Schizosaccharomyces pombe: one gene and its partners. The gene in region 1 interacts genetically with each later gene. Each region holds a gene or a part of one and is shown on either strand. Other genes may lie near its edges.

Region 1 (8,982 bases):
TGCAATTCCTCTAATAAGAGGCTCACTAATGTTTAAAAAAGCGAAAGTATCTAAGATCTCTTACGTGTTAAACAGATTATGCTCAAAGATAATTCTGACGATTTTCTAAGCTGAATCGATAGGAAACTTATAATTTAGGATCAAGAAAAATTTATTTGACGTTTTCCAGCATTTACTAATGTTTAAAAAATTAAGGAGACATGGATAAATAGATAAATTGTATTCCTACATCATCTGAACTTTTTAAAGAATAATAACACGACTTCAAAGGGTATAGTATTATGCATCGGTATATTTAATCTCCGGGGTACAGTACTTATCGTTAACAAATCTGATCTTTTTTGTGGTGGTGAACAACCAATGTTTTTAGGCAAAAATGAACCTGCTCACTTCTCATACCGCTCAGCATACCGATCTTTTGCAACTTGAAAGATAGCTCTTTCTAGAAAGGAATTGAGGGTTAAAAGTTATTTATAATGACTGTGCTGGCTCCCCTTAGAAGATTGCATACGAGGGCGGCTTTCTCGTCTTATGGACGAGAAATTGCCCTTCAAAAGAGATTTTTAAATTTAAATAGTTGCTCAGCTGTGCGGAGGTATGGCACCGGCTTTAGTAATAATTTGAGAATTAAAAAATTAAAAAATGCATTCGGTGTCGTTCGGGCAAATTCGACCAAAAGCACCTCTACAGTGACTACGGCTAGTCCTATAAAATATGACAGCTCGTTTGTTGGAAAGACTGGGGGTGAAATTTTCCATGATATGATGCTCAAGCATAATGTTAAGCATGTATTTGGTTATCCAGGTGGTGCTATCTTGCCTGTCTTCGATGCAATTTATAGATCTCCTCATTTTGAATTTATCTTGCCAAGACACGAGCAAGCTGCTGGACATGCAGCCCAAGCTTATTCCCGCGTTACTAAAAAACCCGGCGTTGTATTGGTTACTTCTGGACCCGGTGCTACGAATGTGATTACCCCGATTGCTGATGCATTGGCCGACGGTACTCCCCTAGTTGTATTCTCTGGTCAAGTAGCAACCAGCGCAATTGGTAGTGATGCATTTCAAGAAGCTGACATGGTTGGTATTTCTCGTTCATGTACTAAATGGAATGTAATGGTCAAAGATGTTGCTGATCTTCCCCGTCGTATAGACGAAGCTTTTGAGATAGCTACTTCTGGACGCCCTGGCCCTGTATTGGTTGACCTTCCCAAAGATGTCACTGCTAGCGTTTTGAAGGAGCCCATTCCTATACTGTCTTCTGTACCATCAATGAATCGCAGAATGAAGGAAGTCTTAGAAGAGGGCTCCAAGAACGTTACTGCCAAGATCGATCGTGTTGCCAATTTACTAAAATTAGCCAAGAAGCCTGTGATTTTCTGTGGGCATGGTGTTTTAGCTAATCCCGAATGCCCCACTTTGTTACGCAAGTTTAGCGAAAGGCTGCAAATTCCTGTTACTACTTCTTTGCTTGGACTTGGTGCTGTAGATGAACGTTCTGACCTTAGTTTGCATATGCTCGGTATGCATGGTAGTGGATACGCTAATATGGCCATGCAGGAAGCCGATCTTATCCTTGCTCTTGGTGTTCGCTTTGACGACCGTGTCACCGGTAACGTAAGTTTGTTTGCTCCTCAAGCACGTCTTGCTGCTGCCGAAGAGCGTGGCGGTATTATTCACTTTGATATTTCACCCAAAAATATCGGTAAGGTCGTACAACCTACTGAAGCAATAGAGGGCGATGTATACGAATCTCTAAAGCTTTTAGATTCTGCTACTAAAAATATTAAAATTCCTTCCCGATTTGACTGGTTATCTCAAATTCAAACATGGAAGGAACGCTTCCCTTTCACTTTCACTCGTAGCGCTCCTGGTGAATTGGTAAAGCCTCAAGAAGTCATTCAAGAACTTGACAAACAAACTTCTGACATAAAGGACAAAGTCACTATTACCACCGGTGTCGGTGCACATCAAATGTGGGCCGCTACATTCTATCGTTGGACAAAACCTAGTTCTTTGGTAACCTCCGGTGGTCTCGGTACTATGGGATTTGGTCTCCCAGCTGCCATAGGTGCTAGCGTTGCTGCACCTAAAGATATTGTTATAGATATTGATGGTGATGCTTCATTTTCAATGACTGGTATGGAACTTGCTACCGTCCGTCAATTTGATATCCCAGTTAAAATTCTTATCCTAAATAATGAAGAGCAAGGCATGGTCACTCAATGGCAAAACTTGTTTTATGAGAAACGCTATTCTCATACTCATCAAAAGAATCCCAACTTCGTTAAGTTGGCTGACGCTATGGGCATCAAAGCACTACGTGTAGAAAAGAGAGAAGATTTGGCTAAAAAAATGAAGGAGTTTTTGTCAACTAAAGGTCCTGTGCTTATGGAAGTTTTGGTTGCCCAAAAGGAACATGTGTATCCATTTGTCCCTGGTGGTAAGGCTCTTCACCAATTTATTTTGCATGAAAGCCTTTCATAAATTTTTTTGATTAATTTAAAAACAGCTATTTTGTAAGAGTCAGATGTAACACTTATTTAAACTTGCGTTAATTATCGTGTCACATTCTTTTAGACTCTGGTGGGCGGTTTGTCATTATTTACCCTAAAGCAAATTTGTTTGTTTTGCCTTGTTATCTTCGATTTTGGTTGTTTTTTTTTGTTTTGCTTTCTAACTATGGTTTACTCCGTTATCATAGCTTGTATTTAATTTTGATGATGGAGGTCAATAACATTACAAATTTTGCGAACATAGCAAATGAGAGTGTATAAAATTAATGTACATATATTTTAGATTTTGCCAATAAATTTTAGTAAGATAGTATTATCAATGAGTGCAATGCAATGTGAGCAGAGCGATACACCATGCGATGAATAATACCAGCACATGAATTACCATTTTCGTTTACGATTTTTTTTTGAAGTTTTGGTAAATTTTCTTCCATCTGAAGAATGAAAGGATAAATTGCCATTCTCCTCAGAAGGTGGGCTATGTTTTCTTTTAAAGCTTTTTGGCTTAGATCCCAGCCTAGATGCTAGAGAATTTCCTGGTTTGTGAAAAGGCCGTTGTTTCGACGATTTTTGATTTCGATTCTGCTCTCGCCTCTCCAATTGAAACTCTTTACGACGGGTTTCAAAAAACTCCTTGTTAGATGCATCATTTCCAGAAGGACAGTTCGCTTCACAAAATGCAGTGCTTTCAGGATAATTTGATCTAGATGGAAGAGTACAGTCGTCTCCAAAATGTTCATCAGATGCACAATTATAACAAAACTTTCGAACCTCAGAAACATCAATGCGAACAGGATGTTCTTTTTCGACATAATACCTCCAAATTAAAGGACACGTCGAACTAGTATGAGTATCGGTATGACAAGTCCGACAAACTCTAGGTCCTCTTTTTCGCGGCTCCGAACATCGCGCAGCTATATGACCCAGTAGTCCACAATTCATGCACTTCTTAGTCCAGGGGCATCTTACGGAAATATGATCATCAATTGCTCCACAAGTCGTACACTGTAATACAGTTAGTAACACTATTAAAAAAACAATGTCCGATCAAAATGCATACCAGAACATGAGGACAATCTTTAGATATGTGACCATTCCCTTTACAATTATGGCAAACTATACTTTCTGAGGGATCTGACCCGAAGTATCTACCCCTGCTCACCTAAATTTTATTAGTAAAAAGTATTAAAAAAAAACTTTTCAATCCATACGTCTGCCCATTCACTTCCTTCCACATCTTCCAAAGTACTATCGGAAAGATCCGTAGAGGAGTCATGGTCATCACTTCCTTGAAAATCATGCTTTTCCAAGCTCACCGAATTTGTGATACTCTGGTCAATCGGTAAAGAATTAATTTTTTGTAACAAGGCCGCATCGTCGATGTCTGAACCATCATCACTTTCTGCTTTTTGGTTTGAAACAGTCATGTCCATATATTGACAAGCAATGTAATAATGGCAAGCACAGTTTTCTTTAACACTTAACAGCCGGCCAGTAGTTTACTTCACAATATTCCCAATCAATTTAACAGTTTAAAAGCAAATAAAACATAAAACACTTCAAGTATTTAACTATCAAATGGAAATTTAATAGTTTCAGTAAAGGCAAAAAATTTTTGGTTAAGGTGTGAGTATTCACCTTACATGGATTATATCTGGCTTTCTCATGAGAAGTTTATTTCATTGAAATGAGCATGACAATAAATGAAATTCAATAAATAACTTATACTCCAAATTACAATTGTTCTCTCAAATGCAACACTTAATGCATAACCAAGAATGTCTGGTACTTAAAAGCCCTGATCGTGAAGAGATATTGAAAGTACAGCAGTAACTTAATTATATTAAAATATTAAATGATTGCACCTTCCCGACTCTTCAAGGCGTTGGATTTTAAAGTAGTTGAAAATTCGAGAGCTTCGTTTCAACACTTTGTAAAGCATAGATAAACAGTAATTTAACATTCAATGTTTAACTATGAACGTTCTTTGTATAGTTGTTGCTAATTGACATTAATTTCTTTTTAAATCATTTTAGCGTTTCAACACAGCTCACATTTATTACAAGACTCAACAACAGCCAAACACGCTAAAATGCCAAGATGTATGATACGATGAATAACAATAATTGAAAACTAATTAATGCTTAGATTTGTGTGATTACTGCCAAGTTTGGCTCACTCATGATAGCCAATCAGTTAGAAAAGCACACAATGCTGGAAGAGCCCATATACAAAATGTTCAGGACTACTATACGAAAGTAGCTCAAGAAGAAGCCCAAAAACAACTTGAAGAAAGGGCATCCTCTGGATTTTTAAAAAAGGGGAATGGTTCGCTAGACCTTCCTTATGCTTATGCGTTTCCTCGTAAGTTATTACTTTATAATACTTTTGTTGAATACGAAGTCTAATATTCCGAATTTTAGCCAAATATAATGTCTTTAACTTAGGATGTCCACCACCGCCCTACATTGTATCCGCAAATACCTATATGGCTCCTAAAGGAATGAATGCTATGAATGCTGCTGCATTCGTCCCTATGATGCCTGCTGTAAATTTAACAAACCAAGTAGCTTTTTCAGCTCCCCAGACTACAGCTTCTTCTAACACTCAACTTACACAACAGCAGCAATCTCTTCCTCAGACAAATGAACATCAACGCGCGCGTACTCATTCGAATGCTAATAACCATTTTACTAAAACCCACCATCAGGGTCAAAGAAGTCATCAAAGGTTTGTACGTGCTTAAAATGACATCTAAAAGATTAAAACTTGTTTGTTACTATTAATGTACTGTATAATAGCTATTGTTTATAACCGTTTACTACTGGTAATTCTTTCTCTTTGCGTTACGTAGTGAAATTTAAGGACAACTCCAAATACACAGTATTTACCAAGAATATTTAGATATTCATCTCAAAGCATGCCAAAAGAAGATGATTCTTTATGTAAAATAGTAGTACGTCGTGAACCGCTTGATGTTTTACTACCTTATTATGACGCGTCTGAAACCACCGTTCAAAAAATACTGCACGAAAATGACAGCACACTGAGTGTTAAATTCTTGGCGGGTGTTGAAGCATTGATAAAAAAAGATGAACTTGATAAATATAAAAATGGAAAAGCTTGTTTAAGAGTATGGTTAAAACACAAATCTCGAAAGAGGTACCATGGGTATATGACTTCAACCGATAAGGATGAGGAAGAGAAAAATGATTATTTACTGAAGTCTAATGGTAGTAAAGTCTTAAGGGACTCAACACGTACCAAGAAATTTAAGTTCGGAAAGGAATTTCACTGCGCACTTAATCCTTCATTTGTCAGTGATGAAACGGCTTCTGACAGTGCAACTTCATCTTCATCTGATACAAATAAGAAGGTTAATAGAAAAGAGCATAATGAGTTATCGTTGTCGCATTTATCTTTCAATGACACGTCCGACTTTGGTAGCTCCGATCTAAGTTCTTCGGAAATTGAGTCCACAGAAAACGATAATAAAGCTCCTTATTTCTCACTTCTTTACTCTGACGGATTTGATTTTATCAAATTTTTACACGTCTGTGTATGTGTCAAATGTCATGGACGTGAACATCGTTCCTCTGGTAAAAATTTTGTTTACTGTGATCATTGCTCAAATGTATACCACTATGACTGTTCTCCACTCCCTTCTTTAAATAAAGAAACGCGTAATTACTCTCAGCAAAATGGTTTTATATGTCCTTTATGTTCCAAAAACTCTAAGGACGTTTTGTGTAATACCGGGTTTGTTTCAGGCGTTTCTTCTGGACAGGATCTAGTTATCCCCCCATCCCTTGCTGATAGGGAATCTCTGTCAATTTTAGTCAATTACTGCAAGTCTATAAGGTTTCGGTGTTTTCGATGTAGGCGTGTCGAATATTTTTTTTATCTGGACAGTAATCCTTTGTCTATTCAGAGAACAATTACTCATTTTATAAAAAAACTTGTTTGTAATGAATGTTCTATGCATCCTTGTGATATTGAAGAGATAATTGCTTGGAGAACTCTAAACAGTTTATATCCTTCAAAAGCTACCCTTTCAAATAATTTTGTTAGTACATCGGACTTGAGCTTTTGGTCTAGAGAGTATTTCGTTCGAAGCAAAGGTAAGTCTTACCTTCACTGTTTTTGGTGTTCTGCTTCATGGCTAGCCGGTATTTCATTAGCTAAAAAGAAAAATTTCGATGGTTTGGAGAATGCCTCATACGACGCAACTAAGCCCATTATTCCAGTATCGTATACAATAATCGATAAGGTTTGGGATGTTCAATATAGAAGTGGAAAGAATGCTCGAACGGCAAAATATAAAACAAAAAAACATCAACTGAAGGCAATTTCTGAAGTTACATTCGCCTTTGTTTCTTGGCGTGGTTTAACTTATTATATGTCAAATTGGGAACCACCTCCTAAAGAAACAGATAGAAATCGCTGGAAAGCGTGGTTAAAAGGGTATTCGGACTTGTTGGAATGTCTATGGATCGAAAAAGCCCCTACAGCTTCGATAAATATTGATTTACCATTTACTAATCTTGAGTGGCACTCTCAACCAAGTTTTATCAAAGGTGGTACACTAATGCCATATCAACTGAAAGGGCTGAACTGGCTTTATTTACGATGGTACACACATCATCCTTGTATTTTAGCTGATGAAATGGGTTTAGGTAAAACTGTACAAGTAATATCTTTCATTAGTGTTTTATTTTACAGACATAAATGCTTCCCGGTACTGGTTATTGTCCCTCATGCCACTGTTGCAAATTGGGAACGAGAGCTTAAAAAATGGGCTCCCTTTCTACAAATTAATGTACTCGTGGGCTCTGAAAAAAACAGAAGTTTAGTCCGTGATTATCGTCTAATCAATCAAAAAGACCCAAAACATGTAAGCACTCATGTCCTCGTTATAAGTGCTTCAAATGTTGAACGTGAAATTTCATTGCTCCGAAAATTTCAGTGGAAAGTTTTAATTGTTGACGAAGGACAACGACTAAAAAATGATCAATCTTCCCTCTTTTATTACCTCTCTTCGGTTAAAAGTGACTTTAAGCTTCTTTTAACCGGGACGCCATTGCAAAATAATGTTCGGGAACTTTTTAATTTACTGCAGTTTTTAAATCCCATGAAAATAAATGCTGCTGAGCTTGAAAAAAGATACAGCATTATTGATACGGAAAAGGTGACTGAACTTCATCAAATCTTAAAGCCGTTTTTTTTAAGAAGAGTGAAAAGCGAAGTACTGGATAACTTTCCTACGAAGGTTGAAGTAATTATTCCTTTGTCCATGACACCTGTTCAAAAAGGTTTATACAAATCGATTCTTTCAAAAAATTTGTCTTTGCTACGTAATATTACCGGCTATGCTAATACCAGTTCTTCTGGAGGGCAAAGGACTACTTCATTGAACAACATTTTGATGCAACTTCGAAAAACATTAGCTCATCCGTACATTTATTCACCAGATATTGAAGACCGTAATCTCCCGTATGAACTTGCTATGCGTTCACTGGAAGAAGCCAGCTGTAAGTTTTTAATATTACGCTTATTGGTACCGAAATTGATAACTCGCGGGCATCGTATATTATTGTTTTCTCAATTTATCCAGCAACTCGATATCCTTGAAGATTGGTTTGAATATAAAAACATAGCCTATGCACGTTTTGATGGCGCCTCATCGGAAATGGAAAGGCAGTCAGCAATCGACTCTTTTAATGCTCCTAATTCTGAGTTGTCATGTTTCTTACTTTCTACCCGTGCTGGTGGAGTTGGCATCAATTTAGCTAGTGCGGACACTGTTATTATACTAGATCCTGATTTCAATCCTCATCAAGACATGCAAGCGATTGCAAGGGCTCATCGATATGGGCAAAAAAAAAAGGTACTTGTCTTTGTGTTAACTACTCGAGATTCTGTAGAGGAAAAAATCATTCAAAACGCTCAAAAGAAGCTTGTATTGGACCACTTAATTGTTGAGTCATTGGATCAAAATCATAATTCAGAAAAAGATTTAGAAAGTATCTTGCGGCATGGGGCTCGTGCATTATTTGAAGAGGCTGGTGATGAACCGTCTATTAAGTATAATGAATATTCGGTAGAATTACTTATCTCAGAAGCTGAGAAACAAGAAGATACTTCAACTGATGAATCAGATATAAAAAGCAATAAGTTTGGCTTTTTTCGTGTTTGGGATAACAAACATATATCTTCCAATCATTATGAAGTCAAAGAAAATGTTCTTGTTGATGAAGAAGATGTCTGGTCAGTAATACTTAAGCAACGAGAGAAGGATGCAATGCTAGAAAAAACAGACGAAACAACTTCCAACAGGAGACTTCGTGCACACCACAAAATCCATTATGGCGAAGATTTAAATATTTATGATAATAGCGACGATACTGATTATACCGTTAATGATCGATCATCACCAGGCTCCCCATTTCCCATAGAAACTGAGACAA
Region 2 (8,852 bases), 580 kb from region 1:
TGCGTTGCGGTGAAGTTCGTATGTGGTTTATGATGAATAGTGGGTAATTTTAGTCTCGTTAATTATAATATAAAAACGTTGGACTTTTTAAGCAAAGCATTTTGGATTTAGGTAAAAAGTCTCAATCCTAGTATGAATGTTCTATATATTTTTCTTAATTAAAAATTATAAGTTAATATGTGGCTGTCGCCATTTGTCTCCATATCATAATGACCATTGAGAATAAGCACATATAGTGCCAACACTTACATATTCACTGAAACTTTATTAAGAGTCTATATAACTGTATATAATATATATATGTAAATTTTTTTTAGTTATCACGCAAGAAATATGGATCAGCCTCTATTGTAGCACTATTGTAAGTTGCAAAGACTTTGTTCCAAGAATAAATATTATTGAAAATAAATTTATAAATTTTTTTTTTTAACATATAAAATCAGCGTTATTGTTTTATGATTAGTAAAAGAATTAATAATTAATGGTAAAATAATACATTCTACTTTCTTGGTTACAGAGGACCTTTAAGTTACGAAAGTAAGTGAATTTAGGAAATATTAGGCCAAACATTTATGAAATAAACCCCATCTTTTTTGAGATCTAAATCAAATGAAAGCTAATCAATTAATAATCCCACAATTGTAAGATTTGATCTAGCTATGTATATAAGTCTGACGAAAAGAAAAAGTCAATAAACGGACTACTTCGCTTAAAAATAGACTTAAAAAAGCGAAACATCTCATATCTTCATAAAACATATGATAAATTAAAAGAAGTATTAAATTTTTTAATATTAACTCTTTTTTTTAAATAAAAAATTTCTTTTACTCAGAAACATCATAAATTCAATTATTATATCTTTAATAGCGAAATATTGTTCCAGTTTTTTCTCACGGTTGAATCGCGATTTACAATTATGATAACAAATCAAATAAATTCTATTTACGTACGAATAAAAGGTTAACGATTGTCAAATATTAATTAGAAATTTTATCAGTTCAAAAAATTGAAACCAGGTAGTTCCTATTACCACATTACTGTTATTTAGTATAGTTGCATGCAGAATATAGCTCCCATTCTTTTTTAAAATTCGGGGTTTCTTTTATAAAATGCTGAGCATCTTTTTTACTTTCAAGCATCAAATTTTTTTTGATGTATTTTACTTTCCGTAAACAATAGTACTCCAATATAAACTGATTAAAGTAACTTGTACGGTATAAGATTTAAGCATTTGAAGGGAATTTTTGTGCGAAATTGAAGCTTGATGTTAATGTTGGTAAATGTAGTGTCAATAATAAATAAATAAATAAACTACATATATAAAACATGTGTCGCAATGTGGAAAACAAGGTATAACCCTGTATCCTTAATATTTTTGAATTTACAGTTTTTATTTATTAGAAAGGATAGCATTCAAATTTTTTTAATAAACAAACAAAAAAATTTTTAAGAGCAGCCTTTAAAAATACATTTACGAATTAACGGTTCATTTACGCAACAAATAAAAAAGATAAGAAAATTGTATTTACAATATGCTCTTGGAGACATTGATGAAGTAAAAAAACTGAAGCAAAAATTTAAAGAACGAAGAAGTGTGGTGCAAAGAAATTTGGAACATCTAATATTAACTTTTCCACCCAAACAAATGTATGCTTTGAGCAACAAAAGGAGAAAAAGGAAGCCATACCACAATTCATAGCTCTATTTTTCTTTATCTCTGGTAAAATTTAAAGACTTTAGCAACGATGAATTAAGGTATCTTGGAATTTTGACGCATGATCTACATCCTGCCACCATTTAAACATAAAATGCTCACAAATAAGTTTGAACCATGGTGTGAATCCATATTGAGGATCGGAAAACATCTCTTTTAACTCTTCCATAGTAACATACTTATAGGCTTGAACTTCATTGGGATTGATATCCAGCTCAACTTTACCTTTGAAGAAAAGAATGTAGTCAACTAGAATGTCCGTTAGTCAAGTGTTCAATAAAGAGAAACACGGATCAACCACATACTTTCATGCTCTCCCCAAGCACCAGTACTAGGAGCAAGGTAATGGATTCGTGTAAGAAACTGAAATTTGTCTTTGGGAATATACTTGGCTTGAATACCCAATTCATGGAACAGCTTGCGTTGAGCTGCATTCTTAACACCTTCAACAGCTTCAGGTAAAGTATTACCACGTTCACCAGCAACATCCAATGGGTGGGAGCAACATGTATTCGTCCATAAGGATGGAAATGTAATTTTCTCTTCTGCACGCTGCTGAAGTAAAAGGCGATTTTGCTCATCAAAGATGAACATAGAGAATGCTCTATGCAAAAGACCTTTATTTATATTTTCCATCAAATGACCTAAAAGGCTTGTTAGAATGGGTTTCCTTCAATTTCATTATAAATCTCCAACAATCAAACATACACTCCTTTTTCGTTCCATATCTTAAAGGGACATCATTTTCATCTACAACGATACAAACTTCTTCCATCAACCTTAATTGTTCTTCATCATAATCCTTTTTCTCTTGTTGGGAACTCATAATCATAAAGTAGGCAAAGAGCAGGTACTTTATCGCTGGTGCAAAATATTGCTTGTCTATAACCAACCACAACAACACTAATTGGAAAACAAGTCTGATTCACTTAAAGCAAGAATTTTTTTCTTTCTGTTTGTTTTCCTAAAGTTTACATAAGTATTATTGAAAATTTGCTTCTTAGCTTAAATTTCTACCGTTAATTTTTTTGTTTCATTTTTCAGTTATAAATTGTGATTGCAATATCCCATTTACTCGTCTATCACTTTTTTTAATAGAATTGATTAATACTTATTAAAAATAAGCAGTCTATATTGCTAGACCTGGGCTTGCTGGTTGTTTATTATATCCCGGTTAAAAATTTTTTTAAGGGCTTTTTTCGCCTGTTACTGGTATTGCTACACTAATTGATTATTTGTACTAGTTTATGATTTATATTTTCACAAAGATACATTAATATGGTGAAAAGACGCACTGCTGCTGTTTTACCTAACAATCTTCCTCATCTACAACATCTGGTCAAAAAGGATCCAAAATCCTACAGAGAAGAATTTTTGCAGCAATGGAATCACTATGAAACCGCGCGCGAAATTTTTCTTGTTAATCCATCTTCAGACATTTCCGAATTTTGTTCATTAATCGATTTCATTTCCCAAACTTGTAATTATTATCATGATGTTACTGCCGACTTTCCTAGCGAATTAATTGAGCTATTACAAAAAAACCACACAATATTCCCTTTCGAACTTTGTGAAAAAATCGTTTTATGCCTTGTTCTGTTAAAAAATAAAACAGTAATATCTCCTATTACATTACTACAATGTTTTTTCCCGCTTTTCCGTGAAAATCCTACTCGTGGTGTTCGCGAACTTTTGTATCAACAGGTATCTCTCACCATTCGGAATGCCAATAAACAAGCCAAAAATGATAAGTTGAATAAAGCTGTTCAGTCTGCTCTGTTTACTTTGGTTGACGGTTCGGGTAGTGGTTCAGCAACACATACTGATTATTCTGGACAAAAGCGAGAATATTCAGCAAGTGAATTATCAGGTGTTTGGGCTGTCAAAATGGTTCGTGATTTATGGAAAAGGAATGTTTGGTCCGGTGATGCACGTGCCGTAAACATCATGAAATCTGCCGCACTATCATCAAACCCCAAAGTTATGCTTGCAGGGATTTACTTTTTCTTAGGTGCTGACAATCAAGAAGAGGAGGAGGAATCTGATGATGAGGGTCCAGATGTTTCCAAGCTTTTGCATCAAGCTAATGTAAATAAAAAGACAAAATCCCGTGAGGCTGCTTTGCTTCGTGCTCGCGCAGTTGTAAAGAAGAAAGAGCGAGGAAAACAAAACGTCCCCACAAACGTTAACTTTCCGGCTTTACAGCTTCTTCATGACCCTCAAGGATTTGCCGAAGAACTTTTTGAAAAGCACTTGGCTAGCTCAAAAAGCCGTCTGTCAATGGATCAAAAACTGGTGGTCCTTCGACTCCTTACCAGATTGGTAGGTTCTCACAAACTTACAGTCCTAGGTCTTTATTCTTTTTTAATGAAATATTTGACACCCCACCAGAGAGACGTTACTCAGTTTTTAGCATGTCTCGCTCAAGCTTCCCATGAATTCGTACCTCCAGATGCGCTTGAACCGTTAGTTAGAAAAATTGCCGACGAATTCGTTACTTCAGGTGTCGCCAATGAGGTTGTTTGTGCTGGTATTAATGCTATTCGTGAAGTTTGTGCTCGTGCGCCTTTGGCAATGACTCCCGACCTTCTTCAGGATCTAACTGAGTACAAATCTAGTAAGGATAAAGGTGTTATGATGGCTAGTCGTAGTCTCATCACTCTGTATCGTGAAGTTGCTCCCGACATGTTGAAAAGAAAGGATCGTGGTAAGCTTGCTTCTATTGAGATGAAAGATCGTACACCTTTGAAGTATGGTGAGGAGTTAAACGTCACCCACGGAATCCAAGGATTGGAACTTTTAGCTCAGTATAAAGCTGAACACGGAGAAGAAGGAGAAAATGGAGACGATTGGGATAATTGGGAAGTTTCAGAAGATGGACAGAATTCTGATGATAGTGGTGGCTGGATCGATGTCGATAGTGATGACAATATTGAATTAAGTGACAGCGATGAAGAGGAAGAGAAGGCCACTGCAAGAAAAGAATCAGATGAGAAAGGATCTTCTTCACAAAAGGAACTAGTTGATAGAATGACCGAGCTTGCGTCTCAATCTATTTTGACACCTAATGACTTGAAAAAGTTGGAAGAGCTTAGGGAGCAAGCGGGTGTTGATCGTCTCGTCAATGGACCTAAGCGTTCTTTAAAGAGGCCAGACGATGCCGTTGAGGCTGATGAAATTGAAGGTCCTAGAAAAAAGGCTAAGAACGACCGAGAAGCCCGTATTGCTAGTGTCATGGAAGGACGTGAAGGACGTGATAAATTTTCATCTAAAAAGGCAGGTTTTAACCCAACAAGTCTTTCTAACAAAAGAAAACAACGTAACAAGAACTTTATGATGATTAAGCATAAATTAAAAGGTAAAGCTGGACGAAGTCTTGTTCAAAAGCAAAAAGTTTTACGAGAACACGTAGCTCGTGAAAAAAGGAAAATAAAGTAAGATATTGATTACTATATTCGGTTTATGCTTTTCCTTTTGGGGCATCTTATATAGGTATATTTAATTAGGTTTTGGGTTTACATGATTGAGGGATAACCTATGGTAAAGGTGGATACTGGAAGTGAATTTAATAATATAAATTACTATCATTATTAAAGATAAACATATAAATCTCGTAGCGTCATCATAAAAAGTGTAAATCCTTAACTCACAGAAAATGCGTTATAGAATAAACAGTATCAAACCACATAAACTTTACGAAGAAGTTGGAATGGAAACTCTTTGCCAGAATAAGGGTCTCTAAGAAATCCTTCTCTAGTCCCATTAGCTTCGTTCCAACTTATGAGGCTCTGGATACCATAAACTCGACCGTTCGGGAAAGCAACAGGACAATTGTCGCTGTCAAGTCCTTCGCCTGTCAGAGAATCCACTATCGCAGACTGAGTAATATGGGCATAAGGAAGAGCTTTGCCAAGGTCATTTAAGCAGGGCGTACATACAGGGCATTGTTTCACAGTCTGGGATTGTAATGCTAAAGGATTATCATCATTCGCGTCAAGATAACACAACGGGGTTTTCAGGGAAGATAGACCAGCAGCTAACAATGCATGTAAAAGAGGTACAGACGGTATATTATGAACGGCAGTAAAATTGCTGGTAAACAAGGAAGCCAAATATTCCCATCGGTCATCGGATAGAAGCAACTAATTTGTCAGTATAAGCTAAGAGCAGAGGTCTCTCAATGTAAACTTACCGAATATGGTGAACCATTCGTAAATTCAGGAAAAGCTAGTAGGGCAGCCGCTAGCTGTAGTCGAGCAGGATGTTCATTTGCCCAAGTACCGAAGTGCGCTTTGGCGAATGCAATGGCTTGGCAAAGTTTTTTACTTTTTATTAATTCTATAAATCTCTGTAGTCGGACCTCAAGCTCTAATGTACTATTATTTTTTTTTAAAATTGCTCGATGCTCCGAACACCAAGACAAAACCTCTTTGAGCTCCTGTTGAAGAATGGAATCGTGAATGAGCTGATAACGCTTATATATGCCTAAATCAACCAAATTCTCCAACTGAGAGTCTTTACAAAGTAGAGCAGCTGCCCCATGGTACCCATTCGCCATCATATAATCAGCAACTAAACGATTCAGTCTGACTCTTGACCAATCTAAAAAATCCGCAGATTCCATGTCACGAATTCCTTGAAGACGATTCATGAACAACAGTCGTGACTTAGTTTGCTTGATAAACAGAGCTTCACAATCATGCAAATGCTTCATCTACACAAAGAACCATGTAAGTTACAAATATCCAACTCAAAAAAAGAATCAATCAAACTTACCTTCTTCTTTACAGTACTGACTCTTGAAAGGAGAGAATCTATTTTTTCTATTTTTTCATCCATTGATGCATTCTCTTGACTGATCAACGTTGTCAATGTGGAATTGATCACATGCGATTCATGCTCCAAGTGCCGCAAAATGTGTTTGAAGTTAATGCGCAATTGCTCAAAAGAGAGAAGAATACCAGGCTTTTCAAGTATATATTGCTGCTCTGGACGAAAATTCATGTTTGAAGGCAAAGTCTAACAAACTATTGGTAGATGGACCCAAAAATTTAAATCAACTAAAGAATATTGAATATTTTAAGAATAAGAAAGTAATTAGAAGAATTTGTTTAAATGTAAGGAAAACAGCAATTGCAGAAAGACGATGGGTTGTTGGCGAAAGATACACTTTCTAGGACCGTAGTGCAAGATGAATGAAAAATAAGGAGAGCTAAAAAACAATAAAAAAAGAGGTGCATATATTAATTTATGTCAGGAAAATCTGCAATTGGTATGGAAATCTCCTTTTTGGAATGCCCCGGGTTAATTTTTACCAGTCGACATTTTCGTGCCAAGTACCAATTTTCAAATGTCGCTGGAAAAGTCCTTGGACGAAATTATAAATGAAAGAACGGTAAATTTTTTTATTTTCGATATTTGTTTTAACAATCCTAGAATGGTTTTGATCACAAGCACAGTCGGCGAAGGGGATCTCAAAATCGTATTTCCAAAAAATCGCGATTGGTATGCTAATTTCGAGGATTAAGTGTTTATTTACTAATTTTTTACTTTTTAAGACCTACAAATTCAAAAGAGCATCAAAAGAACACAACTCTAGTCCAGACGATGGCCCGTGGCAGCATGACTTGGATCAAGAGCAGGATGCTCATCCAAGGACCACTCACCTACAGAAAAGACAACAGTATGTTTTGAATTTATAAGATAAGCTGTAAACTTTTTTATTACTCTATTAGCTCTTAGTCTACATGCACTGTTATTATCATTATATACTAACACAGCAATCTTAGCTCAGAAAATCGATTTGGGGTTCGTGTGGAAAACTTACATTATCAGGTTTTGGAAAAAGATGTTTTGGTAAGTGATATATGTTTACTATGTTTTCAAAAGCCTCGCTTTTAGTTTTCGATTGAAGATTATGAAACGAACCTGACAAAAAATCTCCCTGTCAAGCTAAGTAGAGCTTTGTTCCGATTTCGAATCGCTTTTTTTATTAATAAACTAACCTTTTCTTAAGTCTTTGTTTGAAAATTTCCATCCAATTCGCGTGATTATGAACTATGATCGTGCAGGTCGCTCTGAAGGCTCCTGCGATGTTTACTTTGAAACTTCCCAAGATGCTGAAGATGCCCAGAAGACGCTTCAATCTACGAACTTGAAGGGCTCCGAAATTCAAATTTCGAAAAAGTCTCCACCTTCCTTATTCGATCGGATTTCCGACATGCCACATTCAGCCCGCAAACCAAGCCGGTCTTCTCGTTCGAACCGAGGATTCAACCGTTCTTCAAAAAAAGACGACAGATCATTTCGTTCTTCTTCAAAAAAGTCTTCTAATAATTCAATTTCACACGAAGATTTAGACAAAGAACTTGACGAATACGCAATGTCATTTCACGCTGCTTCAACTGTGTCATCTCACTCATCACAGGATTTCACACCGTCAATAGCCAATGCTCATGAGAAAAACGAGCCTGTTGCTCCTTCAAAAGATAGTAATTTGACCGAGGAGATGGACCTCCAAATGGAAGCGGTTTAAGCTCGAATTGCTGTGCAAGTAACCCTTTTCCTATGCCAAAAGTTGATTATTGAGTCAATTGCTTTGATTTGTACATTATAAAAACGAACCGGCTAAAAGGACATCTTTCATCATAACCCCTTACTTTATATATAGATGCTCGTCAATTTCCATCGTCTTCCTTCTTCTACCACAATCGTACGAATCGTACCAAAAATTAAAATTTGCAGCAGACAGATTCATATTACCTTGCAAGGCCAAAAATTTATTAATTTTATTTTTTTTATTTATGTTTATAAGTGCTTGTTAACGAAAGAGATATTTTGTTTTTGTTTCTGGCATTATTCCATTCTATTCCTACTACAGTGATCATAGCAATTAACAATACATCATCACTGTGCTCTTGTAATTTGATTGAATCGTTTTTGACACAATCTTTCATTCTTTAAAATAAAATAAATTTATATATTTCTACATTACATTCTTATTTGTTAGGTAGAAATGGGATTGGGATTTTCTTCGAAAAAGCAATTACCTGCCTACTGTGGTCCCTTGCCTGTGGGGTCTTTAGTCTTAGAGCTGAGTGTTCCAGAGGAATTTCGATGTGAATATAAAACCATTGAA
Region 3 (3,176 bases), on another chromosome or scaffold:
TACGCATTTTCTAATAAAATTCTGCGATAAACTTCTGATATTTCAGCAATCTTTTGTTCAATTTCCTCTGTTTCAAGGACTACCGAATCAAATGACTTTCGAAGTTTTAAATATTTTCGTTTAAAGGATTTAACAGACGCCATATGTGAAAAGGCAGGTGAGAATATATTTCAAATGGTTGAACACCTACCTGCCCATTTGGGCTCTTGAGTGTTACGGTACATAGTACGCTCCATTTCGTTACACATTCATTTCCATATTAGAGAAAAAGAAATAAATAACCGATATACTACTATTCATAAAATGCTGATAAACATTGAAACTCAAACTCTTTAAAAATTCTGAGAAAGGAAGTATCCACAGGTTCAATCGTGATAGACAATGAATTTTCTCTATTTAGTTTGAACCAGGAAAGACAATAATGAATAAAGGAATAAGTTATACCATATTATTTTTTAAACAAAAAGTAACCCCGAAAAATAGAACCAACAAGAACAGAAGAACTGTTATTTTTTTTAACACCTGGATAAAATAGAAGACAAAACAAGAAAATCGGATATCAAGAGCATCTCTTTCTATTTCATGAACGTTGCCGTATTACTAGACAAATAAAATTTATCGAGCATGAAAATAACGGAAGCAGAAGGACAATCGAAGATATTAAAAACAATAGTCTTCATACAAATCAGTCAGCATACATACATGAAGAACGGCGTAAGAAACAGTGAAATATTGAGAAAATCACAACCAAAAGAATGATTAACAGATGAAAACTCAATCTAATTGTTTGTACTAAATTTATAAGCACATCGAGGACATTCGTAAAACACCGTAGAACCTTCATCAGCAGACCTCAATTGCAAAGTATGGAAAGTCATATGGTCGTTTCCACATTTTGGACATTTTTCCTCAATCTACAAAACTTTGTTAGTATGGCAATAAACCCAAAAAAGGACTATGATAAAGTCCTTTGCCTGACTGTGCCGATTTTTCAATTCACTGGATATATGATACAAAAAAGTTCCTTGATTAGACTCTCCTAATGCATTCTTAAAAAAAAAAAAGTTTTCCAAATGATACAAAGCCTAAAAGGAAAGAAGAATGACAACCAACATGAAAAAAAGGATTCGAAAAGAATAGACAAAAATAAGTTACATACCGTTGCTGCCTCCTCCTTCTGAGATTCTACTTGAACGATACTGTGCTTGAGTTTTAAAGCAGAAGGAAAAGCACTTGCACTACTCTTCGTTTCCACTACCAAATTGGCAAATTGCTCAGAAGGATAAACGGATTGACACTGATCACAAGTAGTCCATTGGGCAGTAGTCGATTCCAACAAGTTACCGCATTCTGAGCAAAATATCAAAGACCCTATTGCCGACATTGGGATTCCTCCTTGCTTGATGGGGAAGGCACTGGTGTTTATGACAAGCTAGTTTGTCTTTGACAAGTGCAATTTTCTTTCGCTGTAACTCATTATTTTGCGGTAAGTGATGGAAAAGCGAGTGTATCATTATCGTAAAAGCCAATACACACTGTGAGCGACTATGATCAGTATAGTGCCTTAATTAGTAAACAATAAGCTAGAGATGAGTAAACGAATTTCCTGATCTATTGATGAACATTATGCTAAAGGCATAAATTACAGACATTTAAAAATCATTCGTTTTTGTAAAGAAATTACTTATTGATAAATCAACCTTGGAATTCCAAGTTGGGGAATTTAAAAAGCTTTCTCGGGAAATTTCACCTATATAAGTATTGTATCGTTGTTTCTGGAAAAAATTCGGTAAGAAAAATTTCTTTGTATTTTTTCAAGCATCAACTAATTGTTTGAAGCTATTTCTTGCTACTTTAAAATTTTGTTGCCCAAACGATTTTTGTCTAGCTGGGCAATACTTTGTTCAAATACAAAGCCTGTCACGGAATACAGAACAAGATTTGTGTACATATATACTAGCGACTTTCAAAATCGTTGTACCTTATAAATTGTGCTTTTGATTATTTAACAAATTCTTCCTTATCTCAAAAGAAAATTATTTTGCTTGATTGAATCATCAATTTGGAAATCATATTTTGCACTTTAGGTATTTTAATCGTAATTTATGTGATAAGCTTGGAAATAATAAAAAATATAAGAATAATAAAAATTTAATTTGTCTGTACGTTGCAACTATTACATGTACAACAGAAAAGCGAACAGATAAATAACAAAATGCAAAAAAAATACTACTAAATAAAAGAAAAAACAAATAAATTCAAAAGATATAGCATTAATAAGAAAAGAGATCACCAAAAAAAAAAGAATCATATTCACGATTTCAATAAAAAGGTCTGTGTATTTTCTACAAAGGATTTGGCATTATACTTACTATTATGTGTTTTCCACTACTTGAGCGTTTCAAATCCATTATGGTTTTGAAAGCGCCTTTGTCTATAACCGCCATAACCCAGTCCATCTGTATAGGGCTCGCTTCCGTATTCCTATATTATGCAATGTAAGGTTGATTTTCTATTTTGGTAAAACAGAGATGAATATGGCATGTTTTTACTAGTGAGATTATTGTGCTGTACCCGACGATTGACAACAGTGGGACTTGTTTGCTCTAGTTATTTAGAAGCAAAAATTTTTTTCCTCATATCTCTCTCTCTTTCTGGGGTAGTCCTTTTTGGAAGAGTGCAACGTGACATAGTCTATGGGATTGTAGGCAACAAAAATGTATAGGAAGAGTTATTGTTGCTACATAATGGAAATTACTTAGTGAGTACCATATCTTGTCGGTGAAAATGGATATTTACTTTGCCGATCATTGCGTAGCTCGGTTTTTGCCAAGGAAAGAAACAAGTAAACCAGTTTGGTAAAGAAAAAGGATGATAAAAAAGGTTAGAGATTTTAAGCGTATCTAAATAAAGGTAAGATACTTTAAAAGTACGTTAAAATCTGTGTCTTGTAAAATTTCCATTTGTAGAATTGTTGCATAAGGATGGAGTACCACTGCTTTAGTATAGTTATACGTAACCATGAGTTGGTTGTCTGTAGGACATAGCGAGAAGATTGAAATTGCTATACGTAGTATTTTAGTGTTTTTGGTTAACTTGTTAATAGACGTTTTTTTCTATTCTTTTTTCTCTTTCGTTGCTTAGATGATTAGTGAGTTGTTCATTGCTTTCTTTGA
Region 4 (8,072 bases), on another chromosome or scaffold:
TTACATTTCCGCTGATGATTTACGTATCAACTTATGGAACTTGTCCATCTCCGATCATTCATTCAACATAGTTGACATTAAACCTGAAAATATGGAAGAACTTACGGAAGTTATTACTAGTGCCGAGTTTCACCCGATAAACTGCAATCATCTCATGTATAGTAGCAGCAAGGGAAATATCAAACTCTTAGATTTGCGTCAATCTGCGCTCTGCGATAATCCATGTAAGCTTTTCGAGGATCAAGAAGATCAAGATTCCAAGAGTTTCTTTTCTGAAATCATCTCTAGCATTTCAGACGTTAAGTTCTCACAAAATGGCCGCTATATTCTTTCAAGAGATTATTTAACTCTTAAGATATGGGATGTCAACATGGAAAAAGCTCCCGTTAAAACTATTCCATTGCATGATGTTTTGCGATCAAAGTTATGCGATCTCTATGAAAATGACTGTATTTTTGATAAATTCGAGTGTACCTTTTCTGGTGACGACAAACACGTTTTATCAGGAAGTTATAGCAACAACTTTGGGATTTACCCCACAGATAGTTCTTTGCCTGGCGATAGAGGACAGATAGTTTTGCAAGCCGACAAGGCTGCATTTAGAGCCAGAAAATCTGCTGCAAATAACGTTCCAAAGTTGAATGCTGTGAAAAATAATGATTGGCGGTCACAACCTCAAGCTGCGATGGGATCTGCTTCTGTTGGCCTTGATCCTGATAACCTGGATTACAATAAGAAGATATTACATGCCAGTTGGCATCCCTTTGAAGACTCAGTTGCCATCGCCGCTACTAATAATGTACGTTTGCTTATCAACTTTTTGTTTACTAATGTTTCAATAGCTTTTTGTTTTCTCTAAGCTCTAATGTCCTTATGTGGAGTTTGGTTTGTTTTTATGATCTACGGATAGACTGAACATAGTTCCTTTTTTATTGAACTTCCGGGAATAAGAGTTTTCTTACCTTCTTCTTTCAGATTGTATTCTTATATACACACACCATTTTAACCATTAATGACAGAAATAAAGTTTTTAGGACTAATGATAAAAGGGTGCTTTGTTTATCTCCCTTCATGTATGCCGTGAATCGATACATATGTACTTTGCTATCCACAGTATTTTTCTTTTTCTCTTTTTACGTGTTCCTTTTTAATCTTGAAATTGTGGTGATGCATCGTAAATTTCAACGTTTTTTCAATATCTCACAAAGTTTTTTTCTCTTGTTGAAAAAAATCTGAATTTGAAATCGTAAAAGTACTTTTCAGGTTAAGCTTCACCATTAATTTACCTTCAGCTCTTTTTTGTTGAACAACGAGTAATAATGTGTTAAGTTTTCTATATAAATGACGGGAGATCGATTGCAAAAATATGACTAAATGTCATAAAGTCTTTGGTTCACTAAAAAGGCTACAATTATTTTTACTAAGGCATGATTCATCAATGCATAAGAAATGATTATTTATACGTATTTTGCACCTGAAAAAAAAACCTAGTAAATTGAGGGAACATTAGTAGCTATAGTAAAAAGAGTAGAAAATCAAATGTAAAGCGAATATATGTATAAACTGAATCATATAGAGTATACCAACACTTAGACTCAATAGGATCTTAAATGCTGAATGACTTTTCTAAAGAATGAAAGAAGGGGAATAGTATAATTTTCGAATGAAGCAATGCGACTGATAAAAGAAACTCCTCACAAATTAGGATATTAACTGAAGAATATGAGTTGAAGAGACAAAGCGAGCAAACAGTGAAAGACGATAATTCCGAACAATAAAAGTTTGCACAAATTTGATCCGGCTTGCTGACAGATAGGATATAAATTTCTAGTTAAAAACACAATGGAAATTAACAAACCAATCCCTGTAAGTACATATTTGACAATATGGGAGGCCAAAGTAGATAGCAATCCAAACGGAGGAGTTGCTAAAGAAACGGGAAGCCAAACAATGTTAGCATATCCATATAAACACAGACAGTCGAGTAACTTAGGGTTGCATTTGTTCCACACTAGGATACCCCATAACAAAACGGCGATAATGGTAGTGTAACCATAAATAATTGATGCTGCAGAGATCAACTTTTTTATAGAATAGCCACTTGTACCATGCCCTGTGGCATAACGAGCGTATTCGGTAATTGAGTTGGAAAAGAATAGAGCCTGTATAACCGTAGTGGTTATCCAAAAAGGACCGTATAAATCGGGACGATCATCTACAACATCAAAGAAATTTACAGTGGGAATAAGAGTATGTATACATCGTTGAACCACATCTTTAGTTTCCACGTTAAATGAATCTTTGATGGTCCATGGCGTCTCTTGCATGGATGCGCGACGAGATTGTAATCTAGGGGCCGGAGGCTTTGTAATGGGAGTTCTCTGCTTATAAAGGTCTTCAGCCTCAAATGTTGTACGACCTAGGTCAGCTTCCGAGTCAATTTCAATCTCATGTGCCATAGTGGTGGTTGGATACTTGTAATGGCTTAGGGTGAACAAAGAAGTTTACTTATTGGAGGCGCTAATTGCATACAGATTTGGTATTGTGAATAAATTTAAATGCATGAAATGTTATTTAATTAAAGAAACTAATTCAGAAAAATAAGATGAAGCTTCTAATTTTGAGATTTGCTGCTTTTTCCAAATCTTAGTCTAGGTTAATTTGATCGTGAAATTTAGAGTACAGCATTGATTTCAACTCTTGAATGCGGGTTTCGTCTTTTTCCATGGAAGATCTTAATACGTCGACTTGCTTTTCCAAACTTTCTTCTGACTGCTCAAGCTGGTCAAGGAGTACAGGAAGGGAAACTTGGAAAAAGGCATCGCCAACCTTTAAAGCTGGAATATCGTCTCCATCATCCTCGTCTAGTAATTCACATTCATTTTTAGCGTCAACAATATCCTCTATTTGCGTTTTTAAATTCTTAATATCAAGTTCTTGAATGGCCTTTCGAGAATGCAACACTGAAAATTCATTTAAATTCCTTTGATCTTCTGCTAGAACAGGAACTTGTTCCATATTTGTTGCTAAGGTGTGTTAGGAGGAATAGTATATAACCCGGTTTCGTTTGTCTTAACAAACAATTGTTGGTGTAGAGATCAATGCGGTCAAGTAGAGGTTTAAGTGGAACAGTTGAATGATATGTCAAAACAGAAGGATTATTAATTAGTATAGTATTTTATCTACAAATTTAAAGAACAAAAGCTATTTTCTACAATTGAGGTCTTCAGATCCGTAATGTTTTTGCTGTCAAATAACAGGTCAAAATTTTACTATAGATTCACAGGGTATTATAAACTAAAACCAGAGAATACGGATTAAATTGACTTTTAATTTAGTTTTAATCATGGGGAATAATATTTAATAAGACAAAGTCTTAGCAAGCATACCCGTTTATAACAGGTTATCTTTAGGATTTTTCGGCATCGTCAACTGCTTTTATTATAGGCTGAGTTAGCGGAGAAAGGACTTGATGAATATATAGCAACCAAAGAGAGAGATACTTGGGATCCTCTTTGTCTATCTGAAGCATTTCGAAATAATCACGCGTACGACATGGATGGATATACCATGCTATGCCTACTGTACCTGGACAGTCCCCAATAGCAAGAGCGTCATATGCTAAATTTTGACTGGATCCTTCTAATAACTCAAAAATCTGTTCCATCTTGGTAAGAGGATCTGATCCGTTTGCATAAGGTTGAAAGAAGAACTGCGGGACTTCGAAGGATGGAGAATCCCTAATCCAGGCGTGCATAGTGATCATTGGATTCATAAGGCTTAAAATATCATCTTCTTCCTGCTCGTATAATAAGGAATCATTTTTATCAAGTAGCTCAGTATGCCATTCTAACTTCAAAATACACTCATCAAACTCAATCAACTCACAAGAAATACCACCTTTCGACAGCTTCTGAGCAAGGATAAGTAATTGAGACTTAAAGCTCATTATTGTCACGGTTAGCCAATTTAATCACTTTATCTTTGCTAAAGCAATAAGTAATTGAAGAAGGAATTATTGTCCCATAAGCCTGGCTACAGTCTGATTGTTCAACGCACTATTCCAATGAGGGCAATAGAGGCAATCACCTGTCAATATATTTGAAGTTAAGTCTCGACAAAAATGGTGTTTCAGTTATTTACAAGTATATTAATTCTACATCTTGCTTCTAAAGTTGACAATAAGAGTATGACAAAACAGTACGTTGGAGTTTACAAAGTTATCCAACAATATAGTGGTACACTGTGTAGTTACTACGTTTTCAACATTTCTTCTCAGCAAATGTAGGATTTCTTAAAAAAATAATTTTTTCGACTAGAAATTGGCGGTAATCAAGAGAAGCTAATGTATAAAAACAATATGTTTGGACTTGGAAAAAAATGAAAAACTAAGGTTTTATATTAGTAATTTCCTCTTAATACTTATACGAGCAAAAGCAAAAGCAAAAGCACTGTTCCAATGGTGCTTATAAAGCCAACTGATCTGTGAAGTAAAATTGAGATATGTGTGTAAAGCTGTTAGCAACATCAATGTCACCATTATATATTGTTAATGGGCATTACGACTTTAATCATATCTGATATGCACATATAAAAGAAATTCTCTTTTAAGGGCATGGAACGTCCTCTCAATTAGTAATTCGGAGACATTCATGTCGTTAATGTGGTTTACCGCACAGTGATTCGACTTTCTTATTGACGGCTGCCAAACACTTTACTTACATATATGTTGTTGTACAGCTTCTTACATCAACGCTAAAATATATATACATTTCCAATTTGAAACATCGTAAGGCGTTGGATCGTTCTTATCAGCGTCTAAAAAAGTAAAGAATTTGTCAAGGTCTATTATTTAATTGCTGTTTTCTTTAGATGCATGCATTATCATCAGGAAATTGATCCGTCTTTATGGTTGATGATTCTCTAAAGGATGCTATAGCAGGAGGAGCTGCTGGATTGGCCTCTTCTCTTGTAGTGGCACCTTTAGATGTAGTAAAAACAAGAAAGCAGGCACAAAAGGCTTTTTATTCAACTGGTGGTGGAAAAAATACAATGGTTTTGGGTGGGACCCTCAGTTCGATGCGAACAATTTTTCACAATGAAGGCATCGCCGGTCTTTATAGAGGTGTTGGACCCATGATGTTAGGTTATCTTCCTAGTTGGTCCATTTATTTTGTAGTCTATGAAAAATGCAAAGTGCTATTTGGGGTAAATAAAAAATACACTTCTCTCCACGAAATTGATTCGTCCAAGGTTGGCATCAAGGCTTCCTTAGATAGTTCTGACAAACAATTTTATCGTTACTGGGGTGGTCAAATCTTTTCTGCGGTTATCGCCGGTGCTGCAAGTGTCACTCTTACTAACCCCATTTGGGTTGTAAAAACAAGGTTAGTCACTCAATCACATCCTAGGGCTTCTTCTTTTGTAGATAAAATTGCTGCGGCTACAACCGTCCAGTTTCGTAATCTTCAAACGGACGCACCATCCGTCAAATGGAGAATGCCTCGCTTTTGGCTCAAGCGTAGGACGAATGTCAAATCTTCTCCATCACAGCATCCAGTGAATCCTCCCACAGGCCCTGCATGTTCACCTGCATACAACAACACATTTGACGCATTTCGAAAAATTTATAAATACGAAGGCCTTGCAGCATTTTACCGAGGTCTTTTCCCCTCTTTATTTGGTACATTGCATGTTGGCATCCAATTTCCACTGTACGAATATTTTAAATCATTTTTGGATGATTTTTTTGGTAAAAAAAGCAACTTTCATATAGTGTTAGCAGCTACTTTGTCTAAAATCGCAGCTTCTACCGTCACTTATCCTCATGAAGTTTTGAGAACTCGGTTGCAGAGTTTGGATGCACCTACACACAACTCGGCTACCTTACTTATTCGAGACATATGGCGTTCAGAGGGTTGGAGAAAATATTACTCTGGCATGGCAACAAATTTTATACGCACCATACCTGCCAGTTCGGTTACCTTCCTCAGTTTCGAAATTGTTCGCAAATGGCTGAACTAATTTATCCGTTGTGTATATACTCAAGAAAACGATCAAAGTCTTTATTTTTTTAACGACAATCCAAGGTTAATCAGTTTCCTTGAGATGTGTGCATGATTTCTAATATTAATTATTACTGTCTCACAGCTGTTAGGTTTTCCTAATTCTTATTCTTACCCCCTCTCATCAATATTTATTTAATAATTACCTTTTATTAAGCATTTGTTTCTTGTGTTACCAGCCCAGCCCTATTTTGAGACTGGATGAAACCCATTCTAGTTTATTTTACTTTAATACGAGTAGCCCCTGTTCGTGGTCATAAGCATGAACGTATCAAGCTTTGAGCTTTATTAGTGTTTTTTTGGTCAGAAATTTCCAATTATTCCCATTCCTATTATACTGAGCAAATTTATAATATTTTAGTGTTCGCCAAATTGAACTAAACTACCTAAAATAAAATTAAATTTTTTTTATATAATTAAAGAAACAGAATATCAGTTTTATTCTATTAGAACGAACTAGGCGCTTCAAATTGATATTGTGCATTTTTTGGAGACCATGCTTTACTTGGTGGTTCCAGTCAAAAAATTTCAAATTTAGACAACAACACATTAATGGCGAAATCACAAAGATCTCAAATAAAAAACGAAGATATATCATTTGTCTCTCAAGAAGATGATTCCTCTAAAAAATTTGTAAAAGATGATAGCGAAAACTCTGAGGAAGAGTTGGAAGACTTGAACAGCGAAGACGAATTTTATCAATCCAATAGTTCTGAAGATGAAATTGAAGAAGAAGTTCAAGAAAGTACCATTGCTGATGACATTGCTGATATCTTAAATCAACAAGTTACTCAAACTGATGAACAAGACACGCCGGTTCTAAGTTTGTCTAAAAAATCTAAAAAAGCTTTACGAAAAAGTAATGCGGAAAAAAAAGACTCTAAACTACGTACTTCTAGAAGACGTGAAAGATTGAGAAAAGAGATGGTTGGTCGTGTTACGAGCGTTGTTGCAGTTAACGCTGAAACAGCAAAAGCTTTATTCACCCATGAACGTGAGCTTCGCCGTATTGCTCGCAGAGGTGTAGTTCAATTATTCAATGCTGTTCGTACTGCTCAACTTCAAAGCTCTTTAAATAGAGAAAACATCTCTGGTGGTCGTACTGCTCGTGAGCAAAAAGTCAAAGAGCTCTCAAAGGCGAGCTTCCTTGACCTCATAAAATCCCAGTAACGGGAAAACTTTCAAAATAGGGCAATACTATCCCAGATCTAGTTTAACACGGTTTTTTAAGGCTTTCTTTTAATGTTTTTCTTTTAATTCTCCTTTTTTCTTTAACATTTGAGGAGATTCTGTACTTTTACTTTGTTGTCTCTGCGAAACGTTTGCTCTTGTACAACTAGTATAGATTCTTTATAAAAGGTATTTAGTTAGGTTTCGTTGGTTATAATTAAATTACTACTCATCATATTTTGTTTAAAACGTGCCTGAAGATACCTATCAATACGGTTAAAATGATGGGTTCGATGGTATCTAATGGATACTTACTGCTATTTACCTGTTGGTTTTTATTTGTATTTGGACTTATGACTATATTTAACTTTGTTGAGATACCACTTTATGTTGATGGCGATGTAAGTTATGATGCTAAAATCTCAATGGCATCGTCGAATATTTTCTGCCAGGGTCATTGTACCAATATGTTTTAATTTCTCTATCTTGTACAAATTTGGTTCTAATATTTTTAACAGGTTTCACCTATTCGTTCTTATTATCCATGTATATTAATTCTGACTTGTACAGTGGTTTTTTTCGTATGGTTATTCTTTAATTGGCTTGGACTCAAATATTTTCGGCATTCTCCAAGCGCTATGCGCCGATAAATTTTTAAAGTAATGAATAAGCATTTGCTCTCCATTTTTCGAAAACCGTCAATCTGTATTATTAAAGGATTGTGAATCAACTTCAAGACTTTTTTAAGGAGTTCAAGCATAATTAGTAAATTGAGGTGTGAACGGTTATCAGATGATTGAGCCATCAAATTTATCTACGATCATTTTCTAACCTGAT

Evidence for each region.
Region 2: mutations in air1 (region 1) and gid9 together harm fitness more than expected from each alone (negative genetic interaction), as found in Schizosaccharomyces pombe (2 studies listed by BioGRID).
Region 3: mutations in air1 (region 1) and rpa12 together harm fitness less than expected from each alone (positive genetic interaction), as found in Schizosaccharomyces pombe (2 studies listed by BioGRID).
Region 4: mutations in air1 (region 1) and pfd4 together harm fitness more than expected from each alone (negative genetic interaction), as found in Schizosaccharomyces pombe (2 studies listed by BioGRID).

What each region holds. Positions count from the first base shown.
Region 1 is NC_003423.3:976,633-985,614, forward strand, and holds air1 (TRAMP complex zinc knuckle subunit Air1), read right to left. Parts: upstream 4,137-8,982; 5' UTR 3,949-4,136; coding exon 3,727-3,948; intron 3,678-3,726; coding exon 3,576-3,677; intron 3,521-3,575; coding exon 2,897-3,520; 3' UTR 2,726-2,896; downstream 1-2,725. Other genes in the region: ilv1 (acetolactate synthase catalytic subunit), read left to right, coding at 477-2,486; U1 snRNP-associated protein Usp103, read left to right, coding at 4,608-4,617, 4,664-4,879, 4,939-5,261; SHREC complex ATP-dependent chromatin remodeller Mit1, read left to right, coding at 5,436-8,982. UniProt on the Schizosaccharomyces pombe protein: Component of the TRAMP (TRF4) and TRAMP5 complexes which have a poly(A) RNA polymerase activity and are involved in a post-transcriptional quality control mechanism limiting inappropriate expression of genetic information.
Region 2 is NC_003423.3:400,562-409,413, reverse strand, and holds gid9 (ubiquitin ligase complex subunit), read right to left. Parts: upstream 6,881-8,852; 5' UTR 6,719-6,880; coding exon 6,491-6,718; exon of another isoform or gene 6,429-6,490; coding exon 5,907-6,428; exon of another isoform or gene 5,857-5,906; coding exon 5,392-5,856; 3' UTR 5,201-5,391; downstream 1-5,200. Other genes in the region: isopentenyl-diphosphate delta-isomerase Idi1, read right to left, coding at 1,737-1,963, 2,020-2,358, 2,423-2,546; SDA1 family protein, read left to right, coding at 2,993-5,152; tho4 (THO complex subunit), read left to right, coding at 7,065-7,109, 7,151-7,219, 7,273-7,397, 7,504-7,570, 7,731-8,249; plg7 (1-alkyl-2-acetylglycerophosphocholine esterase), read left to right, coding at 8,730-8,852. UniProt on the Schizosaccharomyces pombe protein: Component of the GID E3 ligase complex recruiting N termini and catalyzing ubiquitination of proteins targeted for degradation.
Region 3 is NC_003421.2:1,038,341-1,041,516, reverse strand, and holds rpa12 (DNA-directed RNA polymerase complex I TFIIS subunit Rpa12), read right to left. Parts: upstream 1,418-3,176; 5' UTR 1,385-1,417; coding exon 1,160-1,384; exon of another isoform or gene 915-1,159; coding exon 780-914; 3' UTR 501-779; downstream 1-500. Other genes in the region: Ino80 complex subunit Iec3, read right to left, coding at 4-143. UniProt on the Schizosaccharomyces pombe protein: DNA-dependent RNA polymerase catalyzes the transcription of DNA into RNA using the four ribonucleoside triphosphates as substrates. Component of RNA polymerase I which synthesizes ribosomal RNA precursors. Required for growth at higher temperatures.
Region 4 is NC_003424.3:500,930-509,001, reverse strand, and holds pfd4 (prefoldin subunit 4), read right to left. Parts: upstream 3,094-8,072; 5' UTR 3,019-3,093; coding exon 2,647-3,018; downstream 1-2,646. Other genes in the region: serine/threonine protein phosphatase PP2A regulatory subunit B-55 Pab1, read left to right, coding at 1-799, 843-866; yip5 (Rab GTPase-binding protein), read right to left, coding at 1,710-2,459; atg10 (autophagy C terminal domain family protein), read right to left, coding at 3,410-3,949; yea6 (NAD+ transporter), read left to right, coding at 4,909-6,024; rRNA processing protein Rrp15, read left to right, coding at 6,618-7,235; SPOM_SPAC227.19C (uncharacterized protein), read left to right, coding at 7,517-7,636, 7,754-7,885.